Linked DNA regions of Coturnix japonica. The protein of the gene in region 1 binds, or shares a complex with, the protein of each later gene. Links are inferred from orthologs where the notes say so. Each region holds a gene or a part of one and is shown on either strand. Other genes may lie near its edges. The genes, in order: ANXA11 and TARDBP.

What was found.
Region 2: the proteins of ANXA11 (region 1) and TARDBP are in contact, whole or in part, in a cryo-EM structure (PDB 9FOR), measured with the Homo sapiens proteins. The link is inferred for Coturnix japonica from reciprocal best matches to the Homo sapiens genes ANXA11 and TARDBP. Residues at the interface, in NP_001148.1 of Homo sapiens: Gly56, Met57, Ala59, Met61, Ser62, Gly63, Phe65, Asn69, Pro71, Asn72, Leu73; in NP_031401.1 of Homo sapiens: Ala328, Leu330, Ser332, Trp334, Gly335, Met337, Gly338, Met339, Ala341, Ser342, Gln343.

What each region holds. Positions count from the first base shown.
Region 1 is NC_029521.1:4,220,828-4,229,721, forward strand, and holds the start of ANXA11 (annexin A11), read right to left. Parts: upstream 5,176-8,894; 5' UTR 4,937-5,175; intron 671-4,936; 5' UTR 662-670; coding exon 610-661; intron 385-609; coding exon 260-384; intron 1-259. UniProt on the Homo sapiens protein: Binds specifically to calcyclin in a calcium-dependent manner. Required for midbody formation and completion of the terminal phase of cytokinesis.
Region 2 is NC_029536.1:3,496,350-3,505,187, forward strand, and holds the start of TARDBP (TAR DNA-binding protein 43), read left to right. Parts: upstream 1-3,526; 5' UTR 3,527-3,792; intron 3,793-4,084; 5' UTR 4,085-4,099; coding exon 4,100-4,337; intron 4,338-4,996; coding exon 4,997-5,160; intron 5,161-5,852; coding exon 5,853-5,993; intron 5,994-6,560; coding exon 6,561-6,731; intron 6,732-7,045; coding exon 7,046-7,576; 3' UTR 7,577-8,838. UniProt on the Homo sapiens protein: RNA-binding protein that is involved in various steps of RNA biogenesis and processing.

The DNA.
Region 1 (8,894 bases):
CATGGCAAAGTCATGTCTTACATCCTCGCCTTCTGAAATTAGGCTCTTTAGACAAAATTTATCAACAGATTCTGCCTTTCTAACATAAGGAATAGCTTATGGTAACCATTTACTTCAACAGATGGTACTGAATGCTCAGCGTTTAAACAAAGGTTAGAAAAAGGCACAAAACAAACCTGCTGTAAACTATTTGTCTACAGTACCAACATCACAACTTAAAGAAGTCACAGTAAGAAACATCAAATGAAAGCTGACTCACCATTCCAGCCATGTAGTTTGGGTTGAACTGATTAGCGTAGCCAGCCACATTTTCTAGACCAATTGGAGGTGGATTTGAAGGTGGATTTGAAGGTGGATAGGCAGCACCACCCCAAGGACTGCCACCTGAAATCAAACACAGCTGCACTGAAACAAGACACGACACCTTTTAAAGCTTGTCTATCAGCCAAGATTAAACACCACTACAAAAAACTCCAAACTGAACGTAGGAAGAAACCACTGGAAGCCCCAGTGTCCAGAAAACCCTGCAGACTCACGCTTCATTCATTCCACCTTTTCACTTGTGAGGACCATGGGTCACTTAACAGTTACTTCATCTGATTGACTCACCTGGGGGTGCTGGTGGATATCCACCTGCTGGGGGATAGCCCGGGTAACTCATTGCAAAGACCTGAAAAGCAGATGTGAGACAGTCATTTTCTGCAGCGCCTGGCTAATTACACCACATGAAATCAACAGGCAGTATGTTTGCAGAAGCCAGGCAATACAATCTGGATAACAACCAGACAAGTTGCAGGGGCTTTTTTGGGGAAAGGACTTTTTATTTTGGACCAGTGAATATATTCAGATATTTAACCAGCTCTACCGTCTCTCCTCAGATTATTTCTCTTACTCATTTCATACATACTCCTCATTTTGTCAATTACATTGTTAAGGATGCATCACTCTAAAGCATGTTACCGTGCCATTAAATTATCACCAAGTTCACAACCTATGCAGAACAGTTTTGTTAACCAGAAGTAGAAAAAGCAGTTGACAAACAAACCACATCATCAAATGACTAAGATCATGAGCTGCGTAGGAGGTGACTGAAATGGAAACATATGCAGAAGCACAAGGTCAGAGTAAGAAGCTGAAAGGACACAACACTGTCAGCACTGTAATAGAGGGCGTACCTAAAGGAGATCACTGAAATAAATTGGATCTCTAGAAGTTGACAGTGCTTCTGTCAGAACGTACAGACAAATGCCATGTCATCAGTGCCCAAAATAAAAGTGGACTGTTAACCACTGCCACTGCTTGGAGACTGGCTCTGTATTGGTCAGTGCATGGTGAGTAATGGCACTGTGCATCACTTGCTTTGTATATGCCTTTGTAGTTATTAGTCCCTTTCTTTGGGAGAGCATTTTGATCAAGTGGGCTTCCCAAAGGCTGCAGCTGTTAAGGCACCCTTCCAACATGGCTTCACACCATGGATCCATTCTTCAGGAGTAGGCTGATGCAGCACAGGGCCCCACGGGCACCAGTGGCCCCAGACCAGGGCTTTTTATCCTCTTTTTGCTATTAATTTACTTGGTGTAATAAAATCTGACCTATTCATGGCCTATACCAGGCTGGGACTCTGCTGCCTTTTCCCCCCAGCAGCTCCTGAATGAAGCAGAACAGGCAGAAGCCTCTTGTCTAACTACACATAACCACTCAAACACACAAACAGCACAAAAGACAAAGAAGAAAACAAAGAACCCAAAATAGTTAACAAAGGTTTCCTACTTCAACACCTAGTACAATGCACTTCCACTGCTTATAAGGTGATGTAACTTGCTATAATGAAGATAAATACCCCCCCACTTCATGGGTAATCATGGGGGGACTGTTTGCCTGTCATGGATAAATCCAATAATGATAACAAGATGCTTTTCAATACAGATTAAGGTACAAATTAAAACACAGAAAGGCTTTTTTTTTTGTGGTGAAGGGCAGGGCAGAATGGGAGCTGTGTGTCCTAGAAGTGTTGTTAGCACGCTTTTAATCCTATGTGGAACATTCCCTTCTGATTAAAGAATAATAATGAAAAGAGTCATTTAGCAATTAATACTGAGGTTGACAACTAATGGCAAACTTCATTAGCAGCCTAAGAGAAAGTGTTACTATATATATCAAAAAGTTCCACTTGCTTCTTTTGAATGCTGTACTTGTCCAAGCCTTTTCACAAGGAATTTCTTCCACCTTGGTTCCATTCCAGGCAAACCAAATCCACAAACACACCAACTCCTCACGCTCACAAACCTCCTCCGTCATCACTTCATCAAGCCCTGCTGGCCATTCCTCTAACTGAGCAAACCATTCTACATTCAATTCCCCAGCCACTCCCACAACCTCATCTCTTTCTATGCCCACCACACCAACTTTTACTCTGCTACATCTTAGTCAAAACAGAAGGGGGACACTGAATTGCTGACAACAGAGAAGAGGATTCAGGAGTCCACCACCCAGTTATATAAATACTGCGTGGGAGGATACAGGAACACGGAGGACTGTGTTTGCTCAGTCATAAAAGCACATGAGAGAGAAAAAAAAACACCAACAAAAAGCAAACAGAAACAGGGAGTGCCTTGTATTAAATATAGAACTGACACTGTTAAGGTCCTCTCCTCGCCCTCAGAGCTCACCCTGGAGGTAACACCTAAAAACGTGACATGAAGACCCTGCAATTTGTTTAGTTCAGCATTCAGCCTCCAACAATACCACGTTCCAATAGCCTGAAGGCAACAGTTATGAAAACATCACAGCCTTTGTTGGTTGAAAGCAATCTGTTTAATTAGGACTGCTTTCCAGGGAACACTGAAGAAACTTTACTCCTTGGTCTTTTCCATCTCTTCAGGGTGAATTACTTACTAGGATGCGGTAACAAAAGGCTGCCTAAAGCTATATATTACACAACTCCTCTCTGCAGAAAGCAGAGCCCGCTTCAAGGCTGCTGATTGCACCACAAGAGCTCAGAACAGCATCTGCCTCCTTACAGCAGGCTGCAGATCTTCATCACAGGTCAGCTGCCCATCCTTTACTGTGTCTGTGTAAGACAAGGACAAGCCACAGTCAGCACCATATCAGCTACCTGCTATTGTACCAGCCTAAGCAAGATCTATTTTTGACTTGCTTAGCCCAACGCAGCATTGAAGTTGCTCTTTCCTACAGCAGATATAATACCCTACACCCTGTGAAACTAAGAGCCCTGCAGTGTGGTTTTAAGTCTTCTGTGTATGTGACTCCTGGACATGCTATAAATGGCCCAAATTATGTTCCCAGCTGACTAATGCCTCAAGGATTTCTATCAATCTATTTTCAGTTCTACCATAAAAGACAATTTTTTTCGCATCTTCAGTGAAAAGTAAACAGTAATTAATCCACCTCACAAAGCACCCTCTGTGGGGGATCCTACAGAACTAAAGTGACACTGTAGCACTCAGTACCCCACAGCACATTTATATGTTTATAGAACATACCCATCTCCCAGGCGTAAAGTTGGTCTCTCAAGTAACAATAAAAAAGAATATTGCTACTGTCTTCCTCAGGCAACTTCAGCATCTGAGTCCAAGGAACTTGCCAGAGCAAAGTTACATCTCCAACATCCTTTTTTAATCAGAACATATGCCCGTACCTTCAGGAATGTGAATTAGAGGCCTATCACAGCAAAGATTCTCAGAAGCTGGGAGCCAAAAGCCTGCAGAGGTCCATCTCTCCCAGTGTCCAAACAAATACCAACCAACAGCTACAAGGAAAGGAAAGCATCCAGGCCAGAGCTCTCTCCCACCAAAAGCTGAGACAAAGCCTGAACAGAGGGACAGGACGGTGACAATTTCCAAGCACGCTCAAGAGAGTACTCCCTGCAGTGGAGGAACAAGGCTTCCTCTCATAGCCAATGCACAAAGACCAGGAAGCAACGCCTGGGCAGGCCTTCGGTCTGCTTCCTTGTTCTTAGAAAGGATGCTGGTAATGATTAGACAGCACAGAGATCCCGCTCTGTGCCATGGCCAGCCACATAGCACACATTACCAGGTTTTTATTCTTGAAAGCAGACTGAAAAGGCCTTGTGTTCCTATGATGCAGTGATGAGCACCAGCCCAGACTCACATCTGGGACAGCTGAGCAGTACAGGTTCAGCCTCACGCACCAGCTGATAGACATGGGCAGGACGGGCTGCCTGCTCAGCACAAGCACTTCATCTAAGTGACTTCTAGAACCACCTCAGCACATCTCCACTGCGACCTGCTCTATATTTACCCCAAATTCCTATCTAGATCTACCTTCCTATCCAGATCTTGTAGCGAACTGATAACATCTAGAGCAAACTGCAAGCAACAACAGAACCGGTACAATGAAAATATTTGGTTAACTTATCTACCACTCACAGGAGGAACTGCGTTATGTTCTCACTACAGTCTCCAAAAGACATCTATTTTCTGGTACCACACCAACTAACCTGGCTATACAGCAGTACATGGCATCTTCTTTTTATGTGGACACGTTTCTACTGCCTCACAGACCATTAAACTATAACAGGAGCTGAACAGCTTCCGTTTTAAGACGCTCTAAGAACGCACAGGGCCAGAAAAAGGGAAGTACGCTGCAAGCAGCTCGCAGGAAGCTGGTTAAAAAAAGGAATAAATAAATAAAGGAAGGAAAAATAAAGCACGCACGGACAGTTCTCCCAGAAGAACCCCCTTCGCTTCTGCCTCACAGCAAAACCAGCAGCTCAGAACGCACCAAGGACACACGCACAGCACACAAGTACGAATGCGAGAAGCGCCCGGTCGTCCCGCAGGCAGCAACAGCCGCTCACCGCCCCCTGAGCCCCGTCAGCCCCCTGCCCCGACCCCGTCATTGGGGACGTTCCCCCCCTTCCTCCTCACTCCCCCCACCCCGCAGCCGCTCCTACCGCGTTCCGCAGCCGCCCCGGTCGCGCTGTGAGGCGGTGACAGGGCGCAGCGGGGGGCGGGGAGAGCCCTGCGTCAGGGGAGGGCGAGCCGGGCTGCGCTCCGAGGCCGGGCGGGGCTGTGCGAGTTACAGCCCATGGCCGCTCCTGAGGCGCTTCGCTCCGAGCGCCATGCGAGGGGGTGGGGGTGCAGACACAGCGCTGCTAGCACGTCTTGCAGCCGTATTCCTTTCAGGAAGGCTGGCACGCGGTGTTTACGACGTGAAACGTTTCCTTGGGGAACACCAGCGGCTCCCGACTCAATAACAAGGTTGTGAGTTCCAGCAGAACCAAAAGCTTCTTTCCACTGTGGAAAGTCTGCTTCATAGAAACCGCACGGCTCCACCCGGCGGCCCGTGTGACTGGGAGGCCGCGCTGCCCCGTTGGGCACGGCTGGTTTAAAGCAGAAGCTGACTGCTTCGGACAGGAATTGCTCTTGTGCTTCAGGCCGGCAGCACGGCTGACTCAAAACTGGAAACAGCACAGGCTTTACAGACTGGTTTAAACCTTCTAAGATCCCTTCCTATTACCGGCCCTTCACCTGCATTGGGAAAACATCATAGAACAGAACAGGGTCACAGAACTGCTCAGGTTGGAAAAGATCTTGAAGATAAAGTCCCACCATAACCCAGCCATACAACCCTAACTATCATGCATACTGCTGCTTCCTGGCCCACCATTTCTTCTACTTCATGGCAGGGTTCAACTGCTGTGCTTTTTACCATAGAACATCTGCAAAAGAACCCCACCCAAAGCACTGTGCTACCCAGCTGTGTGAGAAATGCCACCAAACACAGACCCAGGGAGGTGGGAGAAGGGAAAACAACAGAAGTCTATAAAAGTCTCTATATAAGTCATATATAATACACATTTCCTTCAGTGAAGTTCTATGAGAGGTTCTGAGGTGGAAGACTTCCCACATAGAGCTTTTGTAGCACAAGGGGTAGCAGATAAACCCTCAAATACAAATGTTTTTATTTTTTTTTCCTACATGCATTCTTTAAAGATGAGTGAATCACTCACATGGAAGCGTTTGGAGAAACAAAACAAGGTCAAAAGGAAAAAAAAAAACCAACCACCAAGAAGGCCTGACTTTTTGCAATTACTTATTTTTTTGCTGAGATACTCATCACAATAACATTGTTAGTTATGCAACTACAGCAGGGCATCAACTCTTCTCTGAATCTGGGATTTTCATATACAGGGTCTTAGAACCTCCTTATGAGCCTGGATTTCCTCATATGCATGTCTTAAACAAGTCCATTTGATTTAGAACTCATCCTGATGGATGTGCTCAAACTACTTAAAGCATAAGACCTGGTTTTATGGATGGGAACTGCATCTACGAAGGGTCGTCTCTTCAAGAGGAATTCAGATGAACATATTTCTTCAGTGCTGTTGTTCGCTGTTGTTAATAAAGCCCTTTGAGCATCATGCCTAGGCTAACAGGGATATATAAGGAAACTTGTGCTGCTGCAACCAGTCCCATAATAATTCCAGACCTGGCTGTGCTTGTGTTAAAATTGATTGCAATGCTCCGTGGATTTCAAGTAAAGTTCAGCTTATGGCTCACTTCTATGAATCCCTCTATTTATCCTGCTACTGTGGCTGTAAGTTCCACACCTTTGATGCTACGTAAACAGAAAACTGAGCTAGCTACAGCAGCATATGGAATATTTTTTACTGACAAGGAAACCATTGTGCAGAAAGCTCCCTAGGTGCCATTTTCAGGCAGGGAATGAGGCATTAGCTTTGCATGTTTCATTTCTGGAAACTTTTACACAGGAACGATAACTTCAGTTTAGGCTCTTCGGGAACCTTGGCTGGATCACATCCCTCTTCCTGCCAAAGCCGTAATGGGCAGCAAATGTTCTTGTCAACAAAAAGATATCATAGTGCGTGTTATATCAAGAGAAAGTTGCATAACACCAGCTTTAAAGGAAGATTTTCTGTAAAACCAGATGGTTATAATTACATGACACACATTAGAGCTATTTGGCATATTGGAAGCCGTTTCTATGTTTTAAAGGGCATAAAAACACTAAGAGATCATCCTCTTGTATTGCATGCACACATCCAGGTCTAGCTCCAGTAATTTATTCCTGTAATCCCTCAGCCCGCTATTTCTTCCTTGAAATTCTACTTTGCCTCTGACAGATGACAGACTCAAACAAGTAACGAAGTCGTAACATGAATTCCTACCAGGAGCCTCTAGATTCCTGACTTGGACTCTCCCCCACACTTCCTCAGCTTTGTTATAAGGATGTCACGGGAGACAGTATCAAATGCCTTGCTGAAATCAAGGTAGACTCCAACCACCACTCTCCCCCACATCCAACCAGCCAGTGACAACATCACAGAAGGCCACCAGGTTGGTCAAGGACGACCTCCCCTTGGTGAGCCCATGCTGACTACTCCTGATAACCTCCTTTTCTCCCAGTTGTCTGGAGATGGCATCCAGCACAACCTGTTCCATCATCTTTCCAGGGACAGAGGTGAGGCAGACTGGCCTATTTCCTGCATGTTCAGAGCTTGATTCTTTAAGGTTCTCTGAATTGATGGGGGTTTTGGAAAGGCAGTCTCTCAAATACTTCCATTGTATTTTTGGCAACATGAGGAATATGTGCACCTGAAGAAATAAGCACTTAAATTCTTCAGTTTTGTTATTTCTTCTAGGCATTCCTTGGTTTTAAACTTGCTTTTTTACACACTGTTGCTAAACCATGCAGTTTCTAATTCTTTTTTTCCCCGCTGTTTTCCTCTCCTACAGCTGGACCTTCAGATGAACCTCAACTCTATAAAAAAATACCATATGCATTTATTCCTTTTCTTCTGCAAGTGCTTTATAGGTCTGATAATGTTTGAGAGGCAGTGTTAGCTCTAGCCTGTTATACTCCTGAAAAAATATTACCCCACCTATACCTGCACAGCTTAAGCGCCCAGTAAGAGAAAACAAATACATTAGCTGACATATTTAAGCATTTGTGAATGTAATTCAACTGGGAGCCTGTGAAACTCATCCAAACAGGTTCTATATCAGCCATTTATCCCCCCTACTGTTGGCTGTGGTATGTATAATGTTATTATAACATATGTTATATTAACACACTGTACTCTTGATCATGATAAGCGACTTTCCAGCCCCACAGAGTTTCTGAGTGGAACTTAATATGACACAAAAACAGATGGCCCACCTTCTTCTTCCCATAGTCCACAGGAAATGAAGAATGAAGCAACTGAAGCAGTCTGACACTCAGTAACGTCATAGAGAGTTACCAAATCAGGTCACTAGTTGAGCAGGGGACTTCCTCCTTTAGGAAATAAGGAAAAGAAGGGCCACTACAGAACACCTCAAGGCTCTGCATTAAGTGACATATAAGTTATTTCAAAGCATGTTCTCATTGTGACACTCTAAAGTATAATAGACTTGGAAATCTCCGGTCTGAATACTAATTTCAACACTGGTATTTAATTATATTCTTGCAGTGGCTCAAACTGCAAAGAAGTTTTAATTAACCCAGTAGAAAACAGGACAACGTTAGTAGAAGAGGCAGCCACTTAAATAACCAAGGTCCAGTCAATAAAACAACATAAACTGTATTGTGCACAGGTGGGTATTACACAGAAAAAGAAGAAATATTAGCTGATTTTCAAAAACACTAGGGTTAGACAGACAGTAACACACATATTAATGGAAGTTCAGAATGAATCAGCAGGCATAGCAGCATCATAAAATAACTTAAGAGCCTGTATTAGTTGCTGTTTAGAAGCTTAACAAGAACACAATGCAGAGGCTTCTTTCTACTACATATTAAATAGCTTCGGGAGGGGTGGATGGCTTATCTTCACCACCAACAAGGCAAGAAAGCCATTTTTAACATATTAAAAGCATGTAAGAACATACTAAGGAGTGGACTGAGAA
Region 2 (8,838 bases), on another chromosome or scaffold:
AGATGCTTCTGAGAACCACAGGCAGACATTCTTCCCAGGCTCTGCTGTGGATGGGCCAGAAAAACGAGGGAGGTGACTTGCTGATGGTTTGCTGGGACTGCCAAACAAAACAGAACCAAGTTAATTTCTGCATGCTCCACGTACAAGATGCAAACGTGGGGCAGTTCCCACAGGTACCAATCAAACAAGACAGTGAAGATGTCAGACGCTACGTGCTGTTGTGCTTTGAACCCTGATTTTCAGCTTCTAAAGGCAAGACTCCTGTATATGCTCACAGTCACCAGCTCCACTAACTGAAATCCTCCAACCATGTTGTCTATCCGCAAACTAAAACAGAAGGGTGATACCTGATGCTGCCTCACAATGCCAGCCACTTGTCCATGAACCTAGAGCACAAAACCAGAGAAAACATTTCCCAAGAGCACTGCTCTGTCTCAGCAGACAAGTAAGAATTGGCAACTGTGTCAGCAGGAGCTGGAACACTACAGCACTGCTGCTTGCTCAGCACAACGAGGTCGTTTGTGCTCGGGGTAGCCGACAGAAGCGTGGGCCTCCTGCTCCCATGGCTTCCACCCGCTGTCTGTAGCTCACAGCTCAGAAACAAAGGTAGCAGTCAGCACCAAACTGCCAGCAGATGCTGCGGAGCTGAGAGTGGCCTTTTGTCACCACTGCTGCCTCTCCAATCACTGCATGTTTTCTCCTTGCCAAGGGCATCCTTCTGTATGTGAGGGGTCTGGGAAACCACACCTGGATGGCTGACCCCAGCTGTCTCAAAGGAACACAAGCTAATCAGCCTCACTCCCACCAACATTCATTGCCAATTGTGATCGTTTCTTCTTCCTCTAACACTCGGCATCTGTCTGGCGATGAAACAAGCAGCAGCAGTTTCACTTCGTAGTGTGGCAGAGGAAGAAAGCCAAAGCTTTCAGAACAGCTACTGGTGCTGGGAGGTCCCAGGCTAACAAGCACCGCGTCCTTCTGGCTGCCTGCAACAGTCAAGCACACAAATCATTTGCCTTCAGTTGTGCTTGAAAAACACATCAGCAGTTCCAGTCACTTTTGGAAGAGCTAAGTAAATAAGGACAGGAAATAAGGAATGAGGAAATTCTGCCTGTTAAAGGACTGAACCATCTCAGGTGGATTTCAAATGCAATAATTGCAATCGTGGCCTTTTAGGATCATGGGAAAGTTGCTTGCAGTGTGGCAGGCACTATAAGGAACTCTTAGAACTGCCTCAACAAAGGGGAGTAGGAGGAGTGCTGCTGTGAGAACAACGGACGTGTTCTCCTTTTGGGGTGACAAGAATAAGGTCTGGTGAGGTGTTTAATCTGTATGTTGGGAAGCTCACAGTAGAAGTTTTTTATGTGTATATAAAGCAAAGTTCTCCTTTGCTTGTGTGCGGAAAGTTCTGCTTATGGTAGACGTTTCTGGGGTGAGGAGGAAGTAATTATTGCAAATGTCCTTGTGATGAAAGCTGCTTCAAAGTGGAAGGGAGAAAGATAAGTATTGTAAAACGCTGCTCTTCTGCGTGTGAATGGATTTTCAGCTTTAGCTGGGAAAATGAAATATTACCCGTCTTGTTCCCTTGAGGGGGAACAGTATCTGTGATATACAGCCGGCTTAATTGAAGGCTCAAATGGCCTTAGATGACAAAGAGAAATGAATAACTGAAGAGTGTCCTGTTCTTTTAGGTAACCACGTGCAAGGTGGGCTTGACTTGGTGTGCATGGAGGACTGTGCTTATGAAGGAGCAGGTAAGGCTGACTGAAAGGATGTAGGCTCTTTTTCTCACTGTACAGTTAGAATGAGAACCAACACTTATGCTTATTTACTATTGGCATAACCAGGCCAGAATCTGATTATGCTGAAATGACATCGTTATTTAAATCCCTTTTACTGATCTAACTGAAGTTAGAAATAGGCCCGAGTACTCCCTGTTTATCTGTTTTGCTTGTTGGTTTGTTTAATCATGAGGTTATATTTAAATGGCCATTGATGGCGGTTTTTCACCCCAAGTGCTTTTGGGAGAGAGAACAAACAGCTGATCGTTATGGAGTTTGTTTGTACCCACGAGCACACTTAACCCAGAGCAGCAAATAGTTATTGTATTGCATTTTCTTTCTTTCCTGTGGGCACACTTAACTCGATATACATGATGGTTAGTACCACGGTACTGCATTTGTCTGCACCCATGGGCACTGTGAATTGCCAGCGTGAGACAACTGGTGTATTAACTAGCTGCTGGCCCGCTGGTGTAGTTACTTCAAGGGCAACACTGTTGTTATCTGCTTAACTTAAATCGAACAGTCATGCAAAATAACAGTAGGAAAATGCTGCAAGAATCCCAGCTTTTACAGAAAAAAGATAGTTACATTTGCTCACTGCCCTCCCCTGGCTCTTACCTGCACAAATCTAGCACAGGGTTGATGTTTACTCTGCTCATTAATAAAACTAGCAGCAGATGCTTTGTCAGATAGAGGTCACTTTGGCTGAATGCCACGGCAACCTCTTCAAATAGCGTTGATTGCTAAACTATAGCTTTGACTTGGAATGGTGCAGTAGGTAATGTTGACATGCTGCAATTACCGCTCAGTCCTCACGGCGTGTTCAGACAACACCGACTACCTCCGTGCTGACTTGGCAACACCAGAACTGGGTTTGGGACGTGTCTTGTGGATGGCTGGAAAATGTAGGAATTTCAAGAGAACGCCTACATGGAGCATTAGCTTATCTCGTCAGCTTGTGTCTTGTCAGCTGCTCTCAGAACTCTGTTGGAAAATGGTAATTAAATGATAAGGCTGAGTCTAAAGCTACCGGGGCACAGATGGGCCAAGTTTCAGTGGTGCCAGAGCCAAGTTTTGCAGTTGTAAGTTTTAAGTGGGAGCTTTAAATACTCAGCAATTCTCTGTGTCGATGCAAGGAACTGGATTGGCCCTACCTAGCAGGAGTCACCTACCTTTACTAACAAGATTGCTTCTTTTTGTTCTTTTTAAGGACAGTGGTACAAGGGGAGTCAATCTGGGTGTGAGCACAGCCTGTGTGTGATCAGAGGCACCAAGAACAGGTGAGATGGGAGCTGTAAGGTGCTGCTTTCCTTACTACAGCACAGCACAGTGCTGTATTGTATTGTATTGTACAATTGTATTGTATTGCTGATTGAGCCACCCTTATCTGGCTGCCCACACACAGCTCAGCACAGACACTGTCCTGCGTGGGGTTCTTACCTTATGGAGCCAGAGCAACAGCAGCAACAACACGAGTGTCCATTAGTTATCATGGCCTGGGACTCAGGAGATCACTATGCAGCATATGGAGGCTTAACTTCCCATTAACTAAATAGAAACTGGGCTTAGGAAGAACTAAACAGCAAGCAGTGTTACAACAGCGAGCATCACCTGCTCTAAACAGCTCCAAACCGCCCCGACCCGACCCGCACCGCCATGACGGACACCGCCACCTGAGGGAGGCGCACAGGGCGGGAACGCCTCACGCCGCTCCCGGCAGCCCCCGCGTGGCTCGGCCCGAACCACGGCCCATTGCGGGGTAACGGCACGCACAGCCCGGCTCCGGTTCTGTCGGCCCGTGCCATTCCGGGACGTCGGGCTGCAGCTCCTGTTCGTCTCGCAGGAGCCGCGCCTCGATCCCGGCTCCCTCCCGCTGCCGGCCGACACGCCCCGATCTTCCCCTCCGCCTCACAGTGGTTCGCCCCGCCGCCCGGCCGCCATTTTGTGCGGCGCGTTGGAGGCGCTGAGGGCTGAGGACGCGGCGCTGCATTCCCGCCCGGTGAGACGGGTAGGAGCGGGGCGGCCGGGGCTGGGAATGAGGGCGGCGGGGATCGGGCTGTGAGCTCTGAGCTCCGAGCTGTGAGCTGTGAGCCCTGAGCTGTCCCGTGGGCTGTTCTGCACTTCCCGGCCCTGTGGGGGCTCTGAGCCCGGTGTTGCCGCTGCGGGGCCTGCGCCGCTCGGGGCGGGGCGAGGCGGGTCGTGCCCTGCCGTTGTGCCGCTCGGTGCCGCTCTGTGCCCCGCTGGGCCCGAGGCGCGTTGTTGGGGCTGTTATTGATGCGTGTTTCTCTCTCACGCTTCAGTGACTTGCAGCGAACATGTCGGAGTACATCCGGGTCACGGAGGACGAGAACGATGAGCCCATCGAGATCCCGTCGGAGGATGACGGCACCGTGCTGCTCTCCACCGTCACGGCGCAGTTCCCCGGGGCCTGTGGGCTGCGTTACCGCAACCCGGTATCGCAATGTATGCGGGGCGTGCGGCTGGTGGAGGGCATCCTGCACGCACCTGAGGCCGGCTGGGGAAACCTGGTCTATGTCGTGAACTACCCCAAAGGTTCGTGCTGTGCCTTTGTGTTTCCATATGAGTGCGCTTTGTAGTCCAGAGATCGATGTGTGTGACAGCAATTGACTTGTGTTCATCCTGCAGGTGAAGTTGAGCCCGCTGGGTTTTCAGATGCACTCAGAGCTTCAATTCTTTAGCTGCAGAAGGGCTTAGATGACAGTTTTATGTTGTGCTTGGGAGAGTTGCAGCCTCATTAGAACTTGTAAAGATGCTGGTGCTGTGTGTACTCACAGACACTTCTCTTCAAGCCGTGCTTTGGTCACAGCTACGTGAGACAAATCCAACCAAAAGCACTCCAAAATAATTAGAAATAGCCTTCTCATTAAATATCGTTGTCAAAAACCCATCTTGTTCCCATCCTCAGTAAACATTACTGGGTGGTCCTTGAGTAAACTAACACAAAACTAACTCAGAATGCATTGATAGGAGGACTTGGTCATTTATAGGAGGACTTGGTAGGTCGTTCTTTCTTCACGCTTGCAGACAGTTGGCTGTGGGTTGTAATGATAACCTCCAACAGCTGCCATGTGTTCTTCCGCTGTCTGCACTTCCTCTTAGTGTTGTCTGGTTTTATACCGCGCTGTTCAAGATTAGTGGAAGGGGTTTCTAAAGTTAGGAGGATGATTTCTAACGTACATCGTTATATTCAGATAATAAGAGAAAAATGGATGAAACAGATGCATCTTCAGCCGTGAAGGTAAAACGAGCAGTACAGAAGACTTCGGACTTGATAGTCCTAGGTTTACCTTGGAAAACCACAGAACAAGACTTAAAGGAATACTTCAGTACATTTGGAGAAGTCCTCATGGTGCAGGTAAAATACTTTTTGAGTATGGAAAGATGTTAAGTAGAAATCAGGGTTCTGATGATAGAAAGTAGAAAGGAGCAGATCTGAAGCTGTGTGCCTTAGAGCTTTGTAGTGTGGGTACAGATGGGAATATTTGGGAGTGGTAATCCACGCAGATCTGCCTAATGGGTACAATGTATTAACAGCTCTTTAGTTTATGTTGCTGATTGTCACAGCTGAGTATATGTCTTATTTTTCAGGCTTTAAAACAAAGCTTTACTAAATTAATTCAGGAACAGCATGTTGCATGCTCTAGGTTACCTCTGTCACCACTGCCTGGCTCTGTCCTGCATGCAGCTGTGTGTGCTTGCATTGTTTATATAGCAGGTCTGGCCGTGTCATTACAGTGTTACAAAGTAATTATACCCTGATGCTGATCCTGCTGTTTTAGTAACTAATACTGGGGCTCAAAGCAGTCAGAATGCATTAAATTTGTAGGTGTCAGAAGCTTGTGCTGTGACTGCATAATAGCAGGGTTAGTATCATAGGAAAAGGTAGTTGTATACAAGGGGGGTAATCAGAGATCTGGCTGTATCCTTTCTGGTGATGATATCAAGATTGATACAGAAGATGATAGGTAAATAGCATGCCATTAATGTCACCAACACAAGCACGGTGCTACTGTGTTCTGTTTTAAAGTCCGCTCTTTTTTATCCTAGGTTAAAAAGGATATTAAGACTGGTCACTCAAAGGGTTTCGGTTTTGTTCGTTTTACGGATTATGAAACCCAGGTTAAGGTCATGTCCCAGCGACACATGATAGATGGCAGATGGTGTGACTGTAAACTTCCCAACTCTAAGGTACTTTCATATTTATGACTACCTTTGTTTTGCCTAACATTCACAACTTCACTTCTATAGCCACTGTGCGAAGTGAGCAGATGAACACGTTAATAAAAGCCCTATTCGTGGTTTTGGAGTCTGAGTAAACAGGATAAAGAAAATAGAGGAGGTGGGTGAACAGGAAGTGAATGAGACGTGTTGGGGATATAGCTAGTTATATCTGCACTCAGTTTTCCAATATGAAGTACAAAATAATGTGTTATTAACATCCAGCAGTTTGTTATTTATCATGCCTGCCACATGAAACTATGGAATATCAGAATGAGTCTGTTCTGATCATGCGGATATGCAGTTAAATGTGCAGCACAGTGACGTGTCCTGCACTGGCCTTGTCACTGCCCATAACTGACTACCTTTATTTCCCTGTTCCCATCTGTACCGAGTTGCACACGTGCTCTCTGAACAGAGTTTCAGAAGTCTGAAGCTTACAAATTAAAACTTCCTTATCTTCAGTCTTCTGAACGGTTGGTCTTCATGTTGAAGTTTCCATTCATTAATTATACTTCTCTCTCCACTTCCCTTCAGCAAAGTCCCGACGAGCCTTTGCGGAGCAGAAAAGTGTTTGTTGGGCGCTGCACTGAGGACATGACAGCAGATGAACTCCAGCAGTTCTTTGCTCAGTATGGAGAAGTGGTAGATGTCTTCATTCCTAAACCTTTCCGAGCTTTTGCTTTTGTTACATTTGCAGATGATCAGGTACGTGTAAAGTGTTTTAACCCCGTGTTTAGACAGCCTGTGTTTCAGTAGGTGACCCTTCAGGGTCCCTTCAGCGATGTTAGCCTGGCTGAGGTTAGGTTACTCAGATGCTGTTGTGCATACAGTTTTTTACTGCAGTTAGTTCTGTAGCAAACGTGAAGATAGAACGCCTCAAATATACTCATGTGCTTCTTTTGCAGGTTAAGTAAATATCTGCTTAGGATCACACGGGCTTATTTTGTCTTGTACTGCTGAATGTTCTTTTTTAAGAAAATACAATAGCCTACATTTAACTAATCCCTTATTTTTTGTAGGTTGCCCAGTCTCTTTGTGGAGAGGACTTGATCATTAAAGGAATCAGCGTACATATATCCAATGCTGAACCTAAGCACAATAGCAATAGGCAGTTAGAGAGAGGTGGAAGATTTGGTGGTAACCCAGGAGGCTTTGGGAATCAGGGGGGGTTTGGCAACAGCAGAGGAGGTGGGGGAGGACTGGGTAACAACCAGGGCAGTAACATGGGTGGGGGCATGAACTTCGGAGCCTTTAGCATCAACCCTGCCATGATGGCAGCAGCGCAGGCAGCCCTGCAGAGCAGCTGGGGGATGATGGGCATGCTGGCTAGCCAGCAGAACCAGTCAGGGCCGTCGGGAAACAACCAGCCCCAAGGCAACATGCAGCGGGAACAGAATCAGGGCTTCAGCTCAGGAAATAACTCTTACGGTGGTTCCAACTCGGGAGCAGCAATAGGCTGGGGTTCAGCTTCCAACGCGGGTTCCAGCAGTGGGTTTAACGGAGGCTTTGGTTCAAGCATGGATTCCAAATCATCAGGCTGGGGAATGTAGACGCAGTGGGCTCTCATACTGACTCTTTGGTGGGAAATCAAATTTTTCTAACTCGTGGTAAGTATCCTGTAAATTACATATAAATTTTTTCCAAATCACTTTGTTCAATGTGCGCTATATTCAGCAGTATTTTTGACGTTTTTCTTTTGTAAAAAACCGACAAACAAACAAAAAAAAATACAAAAAAGGAAGAGGAAGAAAGGTAAAAGGAATTTTATAAGTTTTGTTACGTAACTTGTTGGAATACTGAATGTTTGGAAGTGGACTGCTGTTTGCCTGCTAGGTAAACTAACACTACAATCAATAGGAAAGGGTTCTCCTGTAGTACTTTCCCCCTCGTTTCCTGGCTACCTGAATTCTTTGCATGTTCCAAATGGAAACCATTGGTCAGAAACAGCATTCTCTCCCTCTCGTTTTTAATTTGATCCCACCATAAGAATCTCCAAGTGCCCCAACTGGAGAACGCAGTGTCGTTGGTTTTTTTTTCTGTTTCGTTTGTTTTTTTTTGTTGTTGTTTTCCTTTTTTAACACTGTCTCCCCTCCATACTAAAGTACGATATGAAGGCTTCATTTAATCTCCGCAGTTCATCTCATTTCAAATGTGTATGGAAGAAGCACTTCATTGAAAGCAGTGCTGTAAATATTCTGCCTTAGGAATACTTCTGTCTACATGCTTTCTCATCCAAGAATACTTCATCACACTGCACATGCTGCGTCTTAGACGGTGGGTGTTCCATTTTTATCCGCTACTCTTTATTTCATGGAGTCGTATCAACGCTATGAACGCAAGGCTGTGAGATGGACCAGAAGGCTGTTTGAACTTCTGAAACCTTGTGTGGGATTGATGGTGGTGCCGAGGCATGAGAGGGCTGGTATGAGCGAGAAAAAAGAGAGCGCGTGCGGAGACCTGGTGGTGCATTATGGGATTTTATTTTACTTGGCGAGATGTCTCTCAATCCTGTGGCTTTGGTGAGAGAGTGTGCAGAGAGCAATGATAGCAAATAAAGTACGAGTGTTTATTGCATTCAAAGGACATCCATACGTGGAAGACTTTAAGTGGGTTTTATACCTAGTTAATCAATTAGCTGAATGTGTTTATGTGAAAAGAATACTTGTATTTTTTTTCCCTTATGTCAACTGCTGTGAATGCTGTATGGTGTGTGTTTGTTGTTTTTTTTCTGTTAACGATCTGTAAGTGTGGCAATGTGAATTGAAGATGGTGGGGTTTGCGATGAGAACATTGAGCTTGTGATGCGCTTTGC